Canis lupus familiaris: one gene and its partners. The protein of the gene in region 5 purifies or fractionates together with the protein of the main gene of each other region. This does not show direct contact. Links are inferred from orthologs where the notes say so. Each region holds a gene or a part of one and is shown on either strand. Other genes may lie near its edges.

Region 1 (3,500 bases), on a different chromosome or scaffold from region 5:
CTGTACCCACAGTCTTCTCAATTTGATCCATTCAGGATGTATGGCTTCATTCAACATGACCCCAAATATTGTCTAACTCATCCAAACTCAGTTAGGTGTGCACCCTACGTAGCAGGAAGAAGCATCCTTCCAACCTTGACCACACCTCAGAAATCCATCTTTTATGGATGCCTGGATGGTTCAGTCAGTTAAGTGTCCAATTCTCAATTTTGGCTCAGGTCATGATCTCAGGGTCATGAGATCAAGCCCGGTATTAGGCTCAGTGCTCAGCACAGAGTCTACTGGAGATTCTTTCTCCCTCTCTTTCTGCCTCTGCCCCCCACACCCCTACCATTTGCACTTGCTTTCTCTCTCTCTCAATAAATAAAATCTTTTTAAAAACCTCATATTAGCCCCCCACTGGGTGTAGACATTACTTAAATAACAAAACTTGAAAGAAAGAAAAAGAAAGAACGAAAAAGAGAAAAAGAAAGAGAAAAAGAAAAAAAAGAAAAAAAAGAGAAAAGAAAGAAACGAAAGAGAAACGAAAGAGAAAGGAAAGAGAAAGGAAAGGAAAGGAAAGGAAAGGAAGAGCGAGCAATTGGGGGAAACGACCACTCTAGGCTGATTTGCTAGGCCACATTTGTGAGGTCAACAGTGATCTCTGACAACTTTTTTAGCCCAGAGGGACGTGGCACTCCTGGGGTCCAGACCCAATGACTATGTCCTGCCTTTGGTTTAGGAAGTGGGATCAGAGCGAGCGAAGAGGAGTGGGATTCTCACCTCATTTTCATAGGAGCTGCCAATCACATAGAAATAGAGATCGATACTGCTCTTGTATACCACCGTCAGGCCTTCCAAGAGGGCGATTTCACCTGGGGAGGGGGAGAAAGGGAAGGCGCAAATAGTGGGTGGCCTGAGATAAGGAAGTAAGATAGAAGGAGTTGCCGCGAACTCCTGGTACCCAGCTCCTTGGGCTTAAGTAAGGTAAGTCATAATAACCCCCAAAGACCAAAGTTCGCCTGCTTTTTCCTTCTGAGTGGTAGCACAAGAAGGGAAGTACTAACTTGGGGGAATCAAAATGTATCTTCTCCTAACCACCTCCCCAACAACTACCCTTATTTCCCTCCTTGTATAGGAGACAGGATACTAGTCGATCCTTCGGAGGTGAAAATGCAGAGCGGTCACCTTTACAGACTTCCATTTACCTGCCCTAATGGATGCGGTACAATAAGCAGAGCTGCAGTTAAATTTGTCAAGTGAGGCTCATAAATCCAGGGACTAGACAGGTAGCTAACAGCCAACCTTCCAGCACGGTATTCCCACGTGAGGTACACTCACCTCCCCATTACATTCTGAAGAGTTTATTATATGAGGGGAGGAGGAAAAAAGAGAAAAAGGAGGCAGTCATTTTATCCTTTCTCTGCAGTCCTGCTGCCACCCCCTGCCCACTATGGTTCCCCCAGCACAGGGAGCAGCGAAAGGAAAATGACCTACTGTCAGTCCGATGGGTCTTGTTGAAAATGTTCTTCTCAAAGGCCTTTTGCTCCTTGACACTGGGGTAGGTGTCGTCATAGTACTGGTCGAGGGAAAGGAGATGGGTTGGGTCATTAGAGCTGGGAGCCCAGAATGATTAGTGACTGTGTTTTGCCCTGGATCTTGGATTTCTCGCCTTTAAGGCATGGGGTGAGGGAAAAATACTGGCACGAAGGAAGAACTACGGAGGTAGGGAATGGTCAGTGAGTAACTGAATATAAAAAAAAGAAAAAAAAAAAAAAAAAGCTCTTGTAAAGACCCTGCCATAAGCACGCCCACCTCACATCCCTAAGACCCTAAGGACGGAGGCCTGTGATGAAGCTCTACCCCTGTCTGCATTCTCGGAAAGCAACCCTGAGGCCACTCTCATCCAGTGCTTCCTAGGAGCTATCCCATGGCAGGGAGTAGGGAACACAAAAGGCACTAGGGCACAGAACACGCCTTTTAGACCCTCACTCACACTATGAAGCTGAGGAATGGGAATGGGGAAAGGCTGCAAGAACCTCCTCTAAAGAAAGGCAAACCCGACTCCATCTCTTGCAGATCTCAGCTCTCTTTTCTGCAAACTGAAAGAAGCAGGAGACAGCCGAGCACATTGTTGAGCCCACTCCCAAGCTCTCCCTGGCTGGCAAGGGGTAGAGATACAGGCTGCTAAATCGCTCTGCTCTTTAGGGGCTAATCCGTCGCAGTCAGCTGAAGACCTATGACAGGTCTGGCATTTAGTAACTGGATAACTGTTTCAAAAGGTGTCCTGCATAGTTACATCCAATTACAGGGAGGAACAGCTGGTGAATTCTAAACTAATCTCTACCTGCTGATTGATTTATGCTGTGCTCGCCCGGAGTGAATACACCAGGGACAGAAAAAATTTCCACAGGAGGGGGAGAATATGGAGGGAGAGGAGAGGGGTGTCCTTTCTCCTCTCTTTCAATAGATCCAAAGTTAGAAACATCACACTGGGGACGTCAGGAGGTAACAAGCCTGGTGGTGACTGCAGACCTAGGGCTGGAACCCTGGAACTGCCAGGAGAATTCCTGGAAAAACCCAGGCAGGGTGACAAGGCAGAAGGAAAGGGGACAGGAATAATGGGCCTGGGCAACCTGCTTCTCACATCCAAACACTGTATTGTTCAGAAACCAAGGTTCCCAAGCTTTTCCCTGCTCTGGTACAACAAAGGAGGTCAGAATCTGTGGGAGGCAAGTATGGAAGCAGGGCAACCAAGATACAGAAATGGTTTTATCTGGAGTAGGCACAAGAAAGAATTCTCAAAATTATAGTATCAAGGACTATGAAACAGGGGCAGTCCCAAATCCATCCAAATTTCAAAATAAGTCTTTGTCTTGCTCCTAAATGAATTTCAAAGGGAATCTCACCTTGGCAAAAAGTCGATCTCCATCATTGTCCAGAATCAGGATGGCTTTGACAGTATACAGGGAGGGTTCCTGAAGAGATATGAACATACCTTCAGTCCTGAAGGCTCCTGCCACCCCTGGCAAACCAGATATCTTCCCCTAGTCCCAGTGGGGCTGCAAGGGGATACAGAGGTGCCTCCGTATGTCCCCTATCCCGAATGGTTACATTTAGACAATCCCCACCGAGAACGATCAAGTGGTGAATGAACTGAATTGGGGGGGGGGGGGGGGGCTTTCAACAAAGGACTCTAAAGCAGCATCAGAGAAACAGTTTCTCTGAGCCAGACTCACAGAGGGTTTAATAAAGGTAGGTCATGCTCTTATTTTCAAATATTATGCTACAGTTATTTTCCAAATTACCCTCTCTCCCTGGTCTCCCATGTGCAGGTAGGTATGGAATGCGACCAGATTAATTAGTAGGCACCGCACGAGGCTATCTGAAAATAGGGCTGAATGCCCTAGTGTACTTGAAGTTTCTGCAGTCCCAATGCAGTAGCAATGCAGAGGCATAAAGCAAGCCTTCCCTAAACCACCCACACACCGAGCAGAGGGAAACGAGCACGCATGCGTGCA
Region 2 (3,500 bases), about 1.5 Mb from region 5:
TACACACTTTCCTAATATTTAAACCTCATAATTACAGTTTGAATATACAGTCCAACTTATAGTTAGAAACTATGCACAGCTTCTAAAGCATATTTTTCAGGCTTGTTTTTGCACATAAATTAACATTTAAGTTGGTCCTTGATTTGGAGAACTCTAACTACCTGGAAGCACGAAATTTCAGACACATTTATTGATCGTTAACAGAAACCTTTACAGAGTGAAAAGCATTGATAGTACCATGCGTGGAAAGCAGCTGCTGCCTCCAAGTGCAACACCAAGTCCAGCACCAGAGCCTCCCAGAGGCTCACGAGTCTCAATGAACGAACCCCAAAGAAACCAACACATCCAGGAGGGAGGAACCGACCAACGGAGGGTATCTTCCACACTGGGGCAAATCCTTAAAACAGAGGCGGCTTTGGACCTTTAGCATAAGACACAGACTTTACATTCTTTGATTTCATTTACACCTTTTAAAAAAGATAAAGTAAATCTGAACTTCTTCTTCACACCCAAGTTCAAGCTGAACTCAGAAGGCAGCTCAACCGAAACGCCAGCCCCGGTCCCCGCCAGCCCTGCCAGGAGGTCACAATCTGCTTTGTCAAACTACCTGATGTCTGTGACACACTCACACTGCATACACACAGGCAAATTAGCTTATTATTCAACTTTTAAGAAAAATTCAAAGATGTGTGGGGAAGTTCGCTTGCTAACAGCAACTGCCTCTACAGTGACAATAAGGAAACTGAGCTAGAAAAATAATTTTACCATTTTAAATAAGGAAAGAAGCTAGATTTCTTAAATATATTACTTATTCTGCAAGAGTTGATTAAATTGACAAGGAATAGATTCCTTCCATTCCAGGAGCTGGATTCAGGTTACCTTTTAATTACAGAAGAGCTTCAAATTATAACTAGAGCTGTCCAAGTAATGAAGAGATGGTCAAGGCAGGAACATCAGGCTGACCAGAGGTCATCCCCCCACACGGCGCACAGAGTGGGCTTTTGGAGAAAGGCTTTCGAAAGACCTCGGGGTGACGTGGAAAGCGGGTCAGTAAAGACTCCAGTTCTGCATAATGGAATCTTCTAAGCCAAGCCGCTTTCCACAGACACAAATTCAGTCCATCTTTTCTTTCTGGACCAATCTGGGAGCATCGACAAAATCTTTGCCGTTATAAAGAATAATGAAAAATGTTCCGATGCTTGCAACTCCCCAGAAAAGCACATAGGCCAGTGTTTCTGTCCAAGTGTCACCTATTGATATATAAAAAAAGAGTTGATAAATAAAAATCATTTTATTGATCCCAGAGGCAGTTTTCAGCTGCTTAGCAAAATTAAAGTCCAGTGTTTAAATATTAAAGTTTCATCTTCACAATATCAAAGTTTATTACCACATCTGCAGGAAAAATATAAGAACCTCTCAATTAAGGTTTAAACAAGTGGCTCTTGAACTCTGACTGGCATCAGAACTCTCCAGAGCTTGACAAGGTGTGGGCTGCTGGGGCCAACCCCAGAGATTCTGACTTGGCAAGTGGGGGTGGGGCTCAAGAATCTGCATTTCTAACAAGTTTCCAGGTATGTCGAAGCCACTGATTTAGAGGCCACAGCTTAAAAACCACCTGACCAAACTATTTGCATTCCAATCATGCAAATAATTACTTACTTTTAGACTCAGCACTTTTATATTACAAGAAACTATTAATACATTTACCACAATCAAGATGCCTACACAAAAAATAACTGTACAAAACATACATACATGCTTCAGAAAAGCTATGTATAAAAGTGTGTAAGACAAAGCTCAGTAACATATCTTAATGACCAATTTCACACAACTCTCCCGATAAGCATTTTTTGCAATGTCTAGAGTTCACGAGGGTTAGTAGCAGTGGGAAAAGATCTACTTTGTTCTACTACTTGAGCAGCTGAACCTAGCACAGCTTCCCTCCTGTGACAGGACTGACTGCACCTGCAGACCTGGGAGATGTGTGCAGAGGCCAGGAGACGGTGAGAAAGCATGCCAGGCAGGCTCTTTCCTAGCAAGCTGTCGGAGATCATGCTGCGCTTATTCCCCATTCTCTAAAAACCCAAAGAACAGGCTAGAAATCAGATGCTATCACATCTAAACATCACAATGCTCATCATTTTATAGCACTAACATGAAACATTGCTATCCTCAGCATCCATCTCTTTTTATAAAAATTTACATAATCGCTCATTTTCACACCTCTGAGTTTTAAAATTCTTCTTGGACAAAGAAGAAAGGCAGTTCCTCACAAGCCCAACCCAGGACATTCCCCAAAGGAATCATCACTTGTTCAGGCTGAGCTGTCAACTTTCCTCCCTCCCCAGACGTTCTACAGGGATGTCAAGAAAACACAGAAGAGATCAAAGTAACAAAACTAATTCGACAGGCTCCCAGAAAATGGCATCCACTAGGCAGTGTTTTAAAGAAGTCAGAGAGTCTAGGGATTGAAGAGCATGATCCCCTAGGAATCACGAGAGGCACGTGCTCGCTGGCCCTGTCCACCTTCCTTCCTGTCCCCAGACTGGACACAGGGCCCAAATTATGCCACAAAGCACTGCCCGTGCTCTAGAGCCCTCAGCCTGTTTTCGTACTGTGAGCTAAGAAGAGTTTTTACATTTCCAAAAGTTGTCAAAACAAATAATGTGCAAATGGAGATGGTATGTAGTTTGGAAGTCAAAACTATTTATTATCTTGCTCTTTAGAGAAAATGTTTGCTAACTCCTGCCCTAGAGTACAACAGGATGGCTCCCTGCCTATGTCATGACTGCCTATGGCGCTGAACACGGAGGGGATTACAGGGATTTCAGACATGAACAGGTACCTATTGACCCTCTGCTCCAGAATGCGCGTAGGGGTGGTGTTAAGGGTCCTTAGCTCAGCAAATTTTTGCTGAGGGCTTACTATATCCCAGACACAGGAGATAAAACATTGAGAAAGGCACAGTGTCTGCCCTCAAAGTGTTGCTTATCCAGTGAGAAAGATAAACGAATATGCAAATCATGACCCACAAAGAGAGATGTTCACTAGGGATGCTGGATACACCACAGAGATACGCCACCTCAGAAAAAGAGATCCCCAGATGCTTATGAGGCCAAAGGACACAGTGCTGTAAGAAAGGGACATGATGCTGTGGAGATGAGAAGGGGGTAAGGTCTGTGTGGGAGAACAAAGGGCCACTGTGAGAGGGGAGAGTGAGAATGGGACCCTGACAATGGGCGGAGCTCAGACAAGACAGCCCAACCTGCCTAAAGCTGCATCTCAAAGCGTAATACAGCCAACTCATAGACTCAGATCCCATAGCACTGAAGAGTACCTAACGGAAACACTTTAATCCTACGTGCTTATTAGCTTAGTAACACAGGAAAACAGTGAGAGAAAAAGAGAAAACCAGTAAAGACCTCGTTAGCACAAGTTCTTAGGCTAAAAAAAATTTTTTTTTTCTTTAGAGAAAGAATGAGAATCTTAAGCAGGCTCCA
Region 3 (2,340 bases), about 42 Mb from region 5:
AATAAAAACTACAGGGACACCTGGGTGGCTCAGCCATTGAGCATCTGCCTTTGGCTCAGGGTGTGATCCTGGAGACCTGTGATCAAGTCCCACATCGGGCGCCCTGCATGGAGCCTGCTTCTCTCTCGGCCTATATGTCTGCCTTGCTCTGTGTGTCTCTCATGAATAAATAAATAAAATTTAAAAAATAAAATAAAATAAAAACTACACTAAGATACCATTTTCCACCCAGACTGGCAAAGATCATTTGATAATGACCTGATAATATACTCTGTATATTACTGATTACTGTATTATACTGATAACATACTATGTTGTCCACAGTGTGGAAGGAAAGGCATACAGTTCCAATAGAAGGCAACTAGAAAAAAAAAAAAAAGAAGGCAACTAGAAATTTATATCAAAATGAGAAATGCGCTTTGACCTGGTAATGCCTTGGGAAGTTTATCCTATAGATATCCTCAGGGAATACATGCAAAATAAAGTATGTGTGTGTGCATGATTAGTCACTGTAGCATTGTTTGTAATAGCAAAAAGCCTGGAACAATCTATATATTTATCAATACAGGCTGATTCTATAAATTATGGTACACCCATACAATGGAATATAAGGAAGCTACAAAAAAGTATGAAGATTTACTCTGGGATGATAAAAAAGTCTTGGAGAAGAACAGTGCTAATATCTACACAATAATGCAGATATACTTCATGCCACTGGGCTGTATACCTGAGCTTAAAATGGTAAATTTTACATTATGTACATTTTACTACAATTAGAAAAAGAGGAAACTCTATGTATTTTTAAATATATTTTTAATTAGAAAAAGAGGAAACTCTATGTATTTTTAAATATATTTTTAATGTAATCTCCACCCCCAACGTGAGGCACAAACTTAGGACCCTGAGATCAAGAATCACATGCTCTACCGACTGAGCCAGCCAAGCATAGGAAAGACAATATATATACTATTTACACGTAAACATCTGAGTTAAAATAGGAAATTGTGCATGTCAGTGTTCGTATCCATAAAATCACTGTTTATAATAACAATGCTGATCAGTCACCTGTCGGAAAGGAACTAGATAGATGACAGGCAGCAAGGGTCGGATATTTCACTGCTGGGCTTTTTTTACTCTATGAATTTTCTTTTTTGTGTTTTTAAAGATTTTATTTATTCTACAGAGTGAGAGAGAGCACAAGCAGGGGGAGTGTCAGGCTCCCCACTGAGCAGAGAGACGGACACAGGGCTCCATTCCAGGACCTTAAGATCATGACCTAAGTTGAACGCAGACGCTTAACCGACTGAGCCACCCAGGTGCCCCTTACTTTGTGAATCTTCAATGCTATAAATTTGAATCCCCATGTTCCCAGTGGGAGCCCTCAACCCAGGGCACAGTAGCATGCAGACTGTAAACTACGTAGGCCCTTCCCACCTAGAAGTGTTGCTTACCAGCCAGAAGCAATGTGTGGGTGTTCTTGTTATCTGGCACTTTGTCTGACCTCTCACAAGGATGCATTCCCAGGAATTTCACGATATTGCCCACAGCCTCTATAGGGAGAAATCCCAGCATCATTAAGCCACATCTCATTTCTACCTTTGTGTCACCACCACTCCCCCATCCTCTAAGCCTGCTCTAAGTTGCGCTTTTAAAAATTTTATTTAGTAATCTCTACACTCAATGTGGGGCTCAAACTCATGACCCTGTGATCAAGAGTCACATGCTGTTCTATTGAGCCAGCCAGGCCCTCTCTAAGGGCCTTTTCATGAAGTGCCATCTGAAGTATATACTCTCAACATGGCCCTGGGTTCCTGGGGGGCCAAGGCCAGGAGGAGTGAAAGGGGAGGACACATTTCAATAGCCAAGGATTTTACCTTCAAGTGTCTTGATAGTAGACAAGGTGAATGTTTCCTCTTTCTCAAACTCATCCCCTACCTCATCCCAGGCTGCTTCAAAGTTCAGTTTCATGACCTTTTGGATATGATCAGCAACAGTGATTTCCAGATCTTCCAGCTGTGGAGATGGAGGTGGAAGTTAGGCATACACCTCCAGGGGAATGGGTTCCTGTTCTGCACACCTGTGGGGCCTCTGCTCTGCACTCACTGCTTATCCCTTTCTTCAACGCATTGGGCAAGTGCTCACTAGACACAGAGCACTGTGCTTGGCTCTGGGGACATACAGTAACTGGACTTTCCTTCAGGTGCTCACAGCCAAGTGGTGTCCTTTCAATAGAAATGCCCTGACCCAAGTGCTCACCTTAGGATGTCAGCTGCAAGGTCACGTCCCTTTGGAAGCCTGCCTAGAGTCAGTGCCTTAAGGATCCAAAGGTCTGCCTTCTAC
Region 4 (3,500 bases), on a different chromosome or scaffold from region 5:
GAATGAATGGATGGATGGATGAATGAATGAACAAACAAATAAATAAAATCTTAAAAAAAAAGTTTTAATATGGGACACCTGGGTGGCTCAGTGGTTGAGCATCTGCCTTTGTCTCAAGGGTGTGATCCTGGGATCCAGGATCGAGTCCCCTATCAGGCTCCTTGAAGGGAGCCTGCTTCTCCCTCTGCCTATATCTATGCATCTCTCACTGTGTCTCTCATGAATAAATAAATACAATCTTAAAAAAAAAGTTTTAATATTTATAGATAATAATTATAAGATTAGCAACTATTTATATAATGCTTATATCCTGGGCTCTTATTTTAAATACTTTAAAAATATTACCTATTTAATACTCCTTCAATCCTATGTTATAGTATTATCATTTTCCATCTTATGGATGAGGAAACAAAACAAAAAGAAGTCAAGTAAGTTGCTTAAGGCCACAGAACTGATTAAGTGGTAGGGGCAGGATTCAAATTCAGTCAGTACATGCATAGCAGTTGCAGTGTGAGGCCCTCCATGGGGATATGTAAGTCATAGTGCTCCCTAGGAGGTACTTAACAAATATGTTTTAATGAATATTGAGGAGCCACAGTACTTAATGATTACAAGATTATTTACTTCTATGACTGCCTCATCCACAGCAGAAAGTTGTCATCTGATTGGAGCCTACCTTTCTTCCTCCTAGCCTCTTCTCTTTACATTCCTCCACTGCATCTACTTTCAGAGAAAACAGAGGTCACCAAGAATAAGTTCCTTTAATTTTTAGTCCCACATCTAAAAACAAATTTCTCTCTCTCTGAATTCACACACCATTTCCTTACCCTGTGTATCAGGGAAGTGCTGTCTCTTCTCTTGCAGATTCCTGCCATCTGTGATTCCTGTTCTGGTTCAGGACATCACTCCACCAATCATTACCTCCCTCACTCTATGTCTTTAGCTTTGTTTTCTCTACTGGCTCTTCCCTTAGTCTATAAACATTCCCTTTTATGACTCTCTCACCTTAAAAAAAAAAAAAAAAAAAACCTCTCCCTCCTCCTCTGACTTCTCTTCATTTATTGCCCTCTCTCATTCTTATCAAAACCAAAATTCTATACTCAGAGCAGTCTACACTGTTTTTATTTCTCTACCTCCAAGTCTTCAACTCACCATCAATGCCCAAGATATACCACAAGCAATATTTAATATCACTGATCACCAAATTCAAAGGACTCTTCCTTTAGACTTCATGTTTCTTGACCTTTCGCAGCTCCAAATTCTTTGGAAGATTTTTCCTTACTTCTTCTCTACCACATTTCAGGTACCTTTATAGGATTCTTCTTGGCCAACCAAGCTTTCAATATTGCTGTTCTCTTAGATTCAGTTTTAAGATCTCCCCTCTTCTCACTCTTTATACCCTGAGTGATTTCTTCCATTTCTATGGCTTTTAAACAAGTATTTATCTCTAGTTTAGACTTTCTGTTCAAGTTCCACACCCACATCAAATTGCCCTTGGACATCTTTCAATACTTTAATACTCGATCTGCTCAAAGATTTACCTTAGTACCTCTCTCAAATTTGTTCTTCTCTCATATATTTCCTTTTTTGGTGATTGCCATAAATATCAATTCAATAAACCCAATAAAAAAATCTGACCATTACTCTAGCCACTTCCTCTTCAGTCCATGTCCTGGGCATCCTATTTCCTTAATATTAATAATATTCAGCCCTTCTCTACAACCCAACCACTACTGCACTGGTTTGAGCTCTATCATCTCTCACCTGTGCTACTACAATAGTCTACTAGTTTACTCTTCCTGCCTCTTCCAATCTGTGCTGTCACAGAAATGCTTAATCATGGGGGTGCCTGAGTGGTTCAGTTGGTTAAGCGTCTGACTCTCGATTTCAGCTCAGGTTATGATCTTAGGGTCTTGAGACTAAGTCCCACATAGGGCTCTGTGCTGAGCATGGAGCCTGCTTAAGATTTTCTCTCTCTCCCTTTGCCTCCCCTCACCCTTACCCGGCTTGCATGTGCTCTCTCTCTCTTAATTTGTTCCAGTGGAATCCTTGCCTATATGTAGAACATTCCTAATTGTTCAAAATGCCCTGTGAGCATTAGTTGCTCCACAAAGCCTTTCCTAACCTTCCCACCTCCCACTCCCCCACCACTTTGAGAAAAATGACCAAATTTCTACACAGACTCCCACTTTACCTAGCACAAGCTTCTTTCCTAGAACTTACCATTATGTGTTATACGTATCTATCCTACTTATCTGTTTTCCCTTACTTGACCACAAATTACCTGAGGGGAGATCTTTTGTTCTCACCATGGCACCCCTAACAGTGCCACAGACCTTGCTTAAAAAAATGCTTACTGTCTGACTGAATGCCCCTGGATACACAGTCCTATGTGCCCTGGCAACCACTGCCTCTGCAATTTTAGACTCAGTTCAAAAGTCATCCTTTGATAACATATCCTACTCCTCTATAAAGCCTTCTGTGGGCTTAGCATTTTTCTTCTATGTTCTCAAAGCACATAACATATAAACTAGCATCTATCACATTGCGTTGTACTTATATATTTACTCTATCTCCTTCTTTTGTTTGGCAGGTTCTTGAGGACAGTCTTTCCATGGTTCATTTCTGTACATCCATGAACAAAGTACAACATGTAGTATAACAGCAGGTGCCCCATAAGGGATGAATGAGTAAATGAATAAATGGATTCAGGTCCTGTCCTCAAGAAATGTCATACAACTACTCATTACAGAAATTCTTTAATAAAAATATTCAAACATCATATGCTATAAAACAATTCCTTACCTATATTACCAAAAATTATTCCATTTTCTGTTGATGCTACTTTAACATTAGCTTTAATATTTGCAAAATCATGAGGAGCAAGAGTCAAAGGAGATGGCTTTTCCACAAGTTTCAGATCCCCTGAAGAAACATTTAGATATGGTTAAATATACATATTAAATCACATATATTCATTTCAAATCATAAATCTTATCTCCCAAAAAATAACTTAAAATGATGCAGTGAAATAAGGAACAAGAAAAGGGTTATGATTCAAATATTTTGAGGACAAAATAAATCATTTAACACTTTATTATTCACATCAATATACATATTTTCTTTGAAAAAGTAATAAGTTCCTCAAAATAATTCTATATTTAATGTGTGCATATACTTTGGGCTTATCATTTTATTTCAATGATTGAGTATAAACTTCTCAAAAATCTTGAGTCAAACTATAGACTCCATTACCAAGAGAGATAAAACAGTCCACACGAAGGCTTATAAATTCTTAGAAACATAGTTCTTTATATAGGCATCATGTTGTGAGGAAGAAAGGGCAGAAGTATCTTTTCCCTTGATATCTTAAAGTGCTTTAACTCTTGCTTAAGCCACACAGAATTTCCAAGAGACCCTGCACTGTTTCTGTATACAATTTATTTTTTCCAACTTCAAAGCCATATGTAGAAGTGGTCAAAGAGAGTATGATTCACGTG
Region 5 (3,958 bases):
GCAAAGAGAGAGGGAGAGAGAGAATTCCAAACAGGCTCTACACCCAGCGCGCAGCCCAATGCGGGGCTTGAGCTCAACCCTGAGATCATGATCTGAGCGGAAATCAAGAGTCACAAGCTCTGCGGACTAAGCCACCCAGGCGCCCCCAAGAGCATCTTTTTTTTTTTTTTAAGATTTATTTATTTATTTATTTATGATAGACAGAGAGAGGGAGAGAGAGAGGCAGAGACATAGGAGGTGGGAGAAGCAGGCCCCATGCACCGGGAGCCCGACGTGGAACTCGATCCCGGGACTCCAGGACCGCGCCCTGGGCCAAAGGCAGGCGCTAAACCGCTGAGCCACCCAGGGATCCCAAGAGCATCTTTTTAATGGCAAACCGGGTTGGGCCATTAGAGTAGAGAGTAGAGTCCTCTACTCTCGGGACCAGAGTCCTGCATTTACCAGTAATCCTGACAACTTCAGTTTCCATTTGTAAAATTCAGATAGTAGTGCTGTGCTCTGAGACCACGAGTTTCTCGGATTACATCACTTATGTGCGGACACACAGGGAGTCAGCTGTGAATCCCAAACGCCAACACTGCCCAGTCTACCTTTGGGACCCAGGCTCGTCCATAACGCCCAAGCGTACCCCTCGCCTCGCAGAAGTGGGTTAGGCAAAGGCTAAGGCGCGAAGGCAAGGGAGCCGACAGAGTGGGGAGGCTTCCTGGGGAAGAGGCCGGGCCACACTTACCCTCCAGGATGGCGGGGATGCAGCCGAGCTGTACAGGCGTGGGCTGCTTCAAACCCAGCTGCCGACATTGTTCCACAAGCCACGATGACAGCCCAAGCTCCGCGAAGCCGGCCATCCTCCCCGCCAGCTCCGGGCGTGCACCGTGTGAGCCCTGCTTTCCGGCGCACGCCGATGACATCACGGAAACCTCGGTTACTGGATCGCCTGCTGCGCGGTCCCACCCCGGTCTAGCTCACACTGCCATTCCCGGGTTCCACCGTATGCTGACCATGTTTCCCCGATTTCCATTGGCTCGCGCGATCAAATTAAACTACAATTCCCGAGATGCCCAGCGAGTCGCACTTGCGACTCCCGTCCAATTTGGCTCATCTTTAGGCAGGAACGAGTAAACTACAATTCCCAGCGTGCCTTGCGGCGACGGACTCCCAACTTCCGGCCGACGTGTCCCTCCGGAAGAGGAGCGACTGGGACCGTAGTGATATGGCGCCTCCGGCTCCCGGGCCGGCCTCCGGCGGCTCCGGGGAAGTGGACGAGCTGTTCGACGTGAAGAACGCCTTCTACATTGGCAGCTATCAGCAGTGCATTAACGAGGCGCAGCGAGTGAAGGTGCGGCCGCTCGGGGGCGAGGGGACAGTGGTGGTTCCGAAAGGCGTTTCTTCCTGGTGGCCACTGGTCGTGCTTTGATTTTTAAAATCTTCCTTCTCCTCGAGGTGTTTTTTCCCCAACGTATCTCTTCAGAGCGTTGTAAGGAGTTACCCTTGTCTTATGACCAAACTCAGAGCCGTGACAGTTTTTGTTATTTCTCACTCTAAGAGCTCGTTCTGCGCCGTGGAAGGCATTTGAGTAACGGATGCGTTTTACGCCACTATAGTGATAATAATAGTGATTTTCACTTGTGGAGGGCCCACGTGTGCCACCATACATACCCACAATACCCCTGAAGTAGGGATTTCATTTCATTTCATTCACTCCTCGTTGAGTTTCTCTTTGGGCCAGGCAGTGTATTCGTGCTGGGCTCAAAGCAGTGATAAAACAGACAAAACTCCGAACTCTTTTAGAAACTTCAAGCTCCCAAGGGAGACAGTCAAGCGGTTAATAAGAAGTCGGGGGTGGTGTGATGGATAGTGGTGGGAATGAGTTTGGCCATCTGAGAGTTAGAAATAACCCTGCTAGGCAGGGCCCAGCCAGTGGATGACGAGAGAGGGTGGCAGGTCCTTTAGCAGAAACTTTTAGGGAGGGACGTGGACGTACATTATAGACAATTTGGGAGTGAGAGAATCGTTAAGAGCAGTGAACCTGACAGGGTCTTGCCTGCCCTGGTTGTTAACCTTCAAAAAAAAAAACCTGTCAGTTATTTTACCAGCAAAATGGGTTTGCTGGGGATTAACGGATAATTGCAATCTGAGACATGTAACCTATGGCAAAACTGTAGGCAAGTCCAGAGAGCAGAGGAGAGGACTGCTGTCTTTCACAGGTGAAAGGGGGAGTTGAGAGGGCTCGTTATGAACAAAAAAATCCATTGAAGTAAACTGAGCTCCGAGTGTTGCGGCTTCTCATTACCTGAGCTGTGACAGTGTCTCCTTGGCTCCGCAATTGCCAGACAAGGAGAACATCTCTCATCTTCCTGTGGGGGTGGTAAAGTATAGGCTTCTTCCTCTGGGGAATGCGTGGTACCTCTCTTTTGTTGGGGTCTGCCACTAACCTGGAGTGTCAGGGCTTGAAAGCTCCCCCTTCTGGTCTCCTGACTCTCTTTTCTTTTTCTTTTTCTTTTTTTTTTAAGAGATTTTATTTATTTATTTATGATAGAGAGAGAGAAAGAGGCAGAGACACAGGCAGAGGGAGAAGTAGGCGCCATGCAAGGAGCCCAACACGGGACTCGATCCAGGATCTCCAGGATCACGCCCTGGGATGAAGGTGGCGCTAAACCGCTGAGCCACCCAGGCTGCCCCTGACTCTCTTTTCAACAGGCTGGTGTCCTAAAGAGATTAGACAAGTAGAGAAATGTGTGAATATATCATAACTTGACTGCTTAAGGGGACAAGGTGAGATAAAAAGTGCTGAGTTGGAGGGGCACCTGGATGGTCAGTCAGAAGAGCATAGGACTCTTGATCATGGTGGTGTGAGTTCGAGTCCCACGTTGGGTGTAGAGATGAGTAAAAATAAATATATCAACTTAAAAAAAAAAGACAACACACATACCACTCTTATTTTATCTTGTATATATTTTTTATTGGAGTTCGATTTGCCAACATATAGTCTAACAGCCAGTGCTCATCCCGTCAAGCACCCCCATCAGTACTAGTCACCCAGTGACCCCATCCCCCCACCCACCTCCCCTTCCACTACCCCTTGTTCGTTTCCCAGAGTTAGGAGTCTCTCATGTTCTGTCACCCTCTCTGATATTTCCCACTCTCTCTCTTTTTTTTTTTTATCACTATTAATAAAAAAGAAAAGATGCTGAGTTGGAGAATAGGCAGGGGGCAGGGAGGAGGGTGCTTCCTCTGGGAATGGTCAGGTAAGCCCCAGCCGCTCTATCACTTGAACCCAAGGCTGAATCTTAAGAAGCATCAAACCCCATAAATTGCTGCAAAGGTCCTAAGGCAGAGATGAGCTCCAGGGAGTCAGAGCATAAAAGACCAGTGTAGCAGAAGTGGGGTGAGTGGCCGGGTGTGTGTGTGTGTGTGTGTGTGTGTGTATGTGTGTAGGATGGAGAATGAAGTGGGCAGGGCCACAGGCAGGGCCTCACAGGAGCCACAGTAAGAGTTTGGATTTTATTCCTAAGATGTAGGGGGCCACTGGAGCACCAAGCAAAGGAAGAGCTAACTATTTCACCCGGGCAGCCAGAGGCTTGGGAGGACTTTGTACTCTGAAGTAGAGAAGGCTTACTTGTTCATGCTTCTGGCCTTTGACACTGTACCTGGTTTCCCTGAGCATCATGGGTATAAAGCCTAAAATGGACTTCAGGAGACTGTCACACTTGGAATAGTACTTGTGCAATTGTATTCGTTTTCTGATTCTCTTATGACAAACAACCACAAATGACAACTTGCAGCCACACAAATTTATTTTCTCTCAGTTTCTGTAGGTCAGAAGTCCTACATGGCTTGCACCAGGCTAAAATCAAGGTGTTGGGAAGGCTGTATCTCTTCTGGAAATTCTAAGGAAAAATATGCTTCCAGACTCAAATGGTTGATAGCTCTGAGCCAGGGGCCAGCCTTGCCTCCTAGA

The links. Proteins that work in one complex are often made in the same cells at the same time.
Region 1: the proteins of COPE (region 5) and COPZ1 purify together in Homo sapiens (affinity purification with mass spectrometry; 3 studies listed by BioGRID and IntAct, with this or other methods). This does not show direct contact. The link is inferred for Canis lupus familiaris from reciprocal best matches to the Homo sapiens genes COPE and COPZ1.
Region 2: the proteins of COPE (region 5) and SACM1L purify together in Homo sapiens (affinity purification with mass spectrometry; 4 studies listed by BioGRID and IntAct, with this or other methods). This does not show direct contact. The link is inferred for Canis lupus familiaris from reciprocal best matches to the Homo sapiens genes COPE and SACM1L.
Region 3: the proteins of COPE (region 5) and COPG1 fractionate together in Homo sapiens (co-fractionation; 6 studies listed by BioGRID and IntAct, counting the BioPlex papers as one, with this or other methods). This does not show direct contact. The link is inferred for Canis lupus familiaris from reciprocal best matches to the Homo sapiens genes COPE and COPG1.
Region 4: the proteins of COPE (region 5) and COPB1 purify together in Homo sapiens (affinity purification with mass spectrometry; 6 studies listed by BioGRID and IntAct, with this or other methods). This does not show direct contact. The link is inferred for Canis lupus familiaris from reciprocal best matches to the Homo sapiens genes COPE and COPB1.

What each region holds. Positions count from the first base shown.
Region 1 is NC_049248.1:45,686,211-45,689,710, reverse strand, and holds part of COPZ1 (coatomer subunit zeta-1), read right to left. Parts: intron 2,958-3,500; coding exon 2,889-2,957; intron 1,559-2,888; coding exon 1,477-1,558; intron 855-1,476; coding exon 763-854; intron 1-762. UniProt on the Homo sapiens protein: The coatomer is a cytosolic protein complex that binds to dilysine motifs and reversibly associates with Golgi non-clathrin-coated vesicles, which further mediate biosynthetic protein transport from the ER, via the Golgi up to the trans Golgi network.
Region 2 is NC_049241.1:43,140,144-43,143,643, forward strand, and holds part of SACM1L (phosphatidylinositol-3-phosphatase SAC1), read right to left. Parts: intron 1,251-3,500; coding exon 1,114-1,250; 3' UTR 1-1,113.
Region 3 is NC_049241.1:2,861,924-2,864,263, forward strand, and holds part of COPG1 (coatomer subunit gamma-1), read right to left. Parts: intron 2,014-2,340; coding exon 1,875-2,013; intron 1,551-1,874; coding exon 1,452-1,550; intron 1-1,451. UniProt on the Homo sapiens protein: The coatomer is a cytosolic protein complex that binds to dilysine motifs and reversibly associates with Golgi non-clathrin-coated vesicles, which further mediate biosynthetic protein transport from the ER, via the Golgi up to the trans Golgi network.
Region 4 is NC_049242.1:37,795,720-37,799,219, forward strand, and holds part of COPB1 (coatomer subunit beta), read right to left. Parts: intron 2,926-3,500; coding exon 2,806-2,925; intron 1-2,805. UniProt on the Homo sapiens protein: The coatomer is a cytosolic protein complex that binds to dilysine motifs and reversibly associates with Golgi non-clathrin-coated vesicles, which further mediate biosynthetic protein transport from the ER, via the Golgi up to the trans Golgi network.
Region 5 is NC_049241.1:44,603,919-44,607,876, forward strand, and holds the start of COPE (coatomer subunit epsilon), read left to right. Parts: upstream 1-1,158; 5' UTR 1,159-1,210; coding exon 1,211-1,336; intron 1,337-3,958. Other genes in the region: probable ATP-dependent RNA helicase DDX49, read right to left, coding at 731-908. UniProt on the Homo sapiens protein: The coatomer is a cytosolic protein complex that binds to dilysine motifs and reversibly associates with Golgi non-clathrin-coated vesicles, which further mediate biosynthetic protein transport from the ER, via the Golgi up to the trans Golgi network.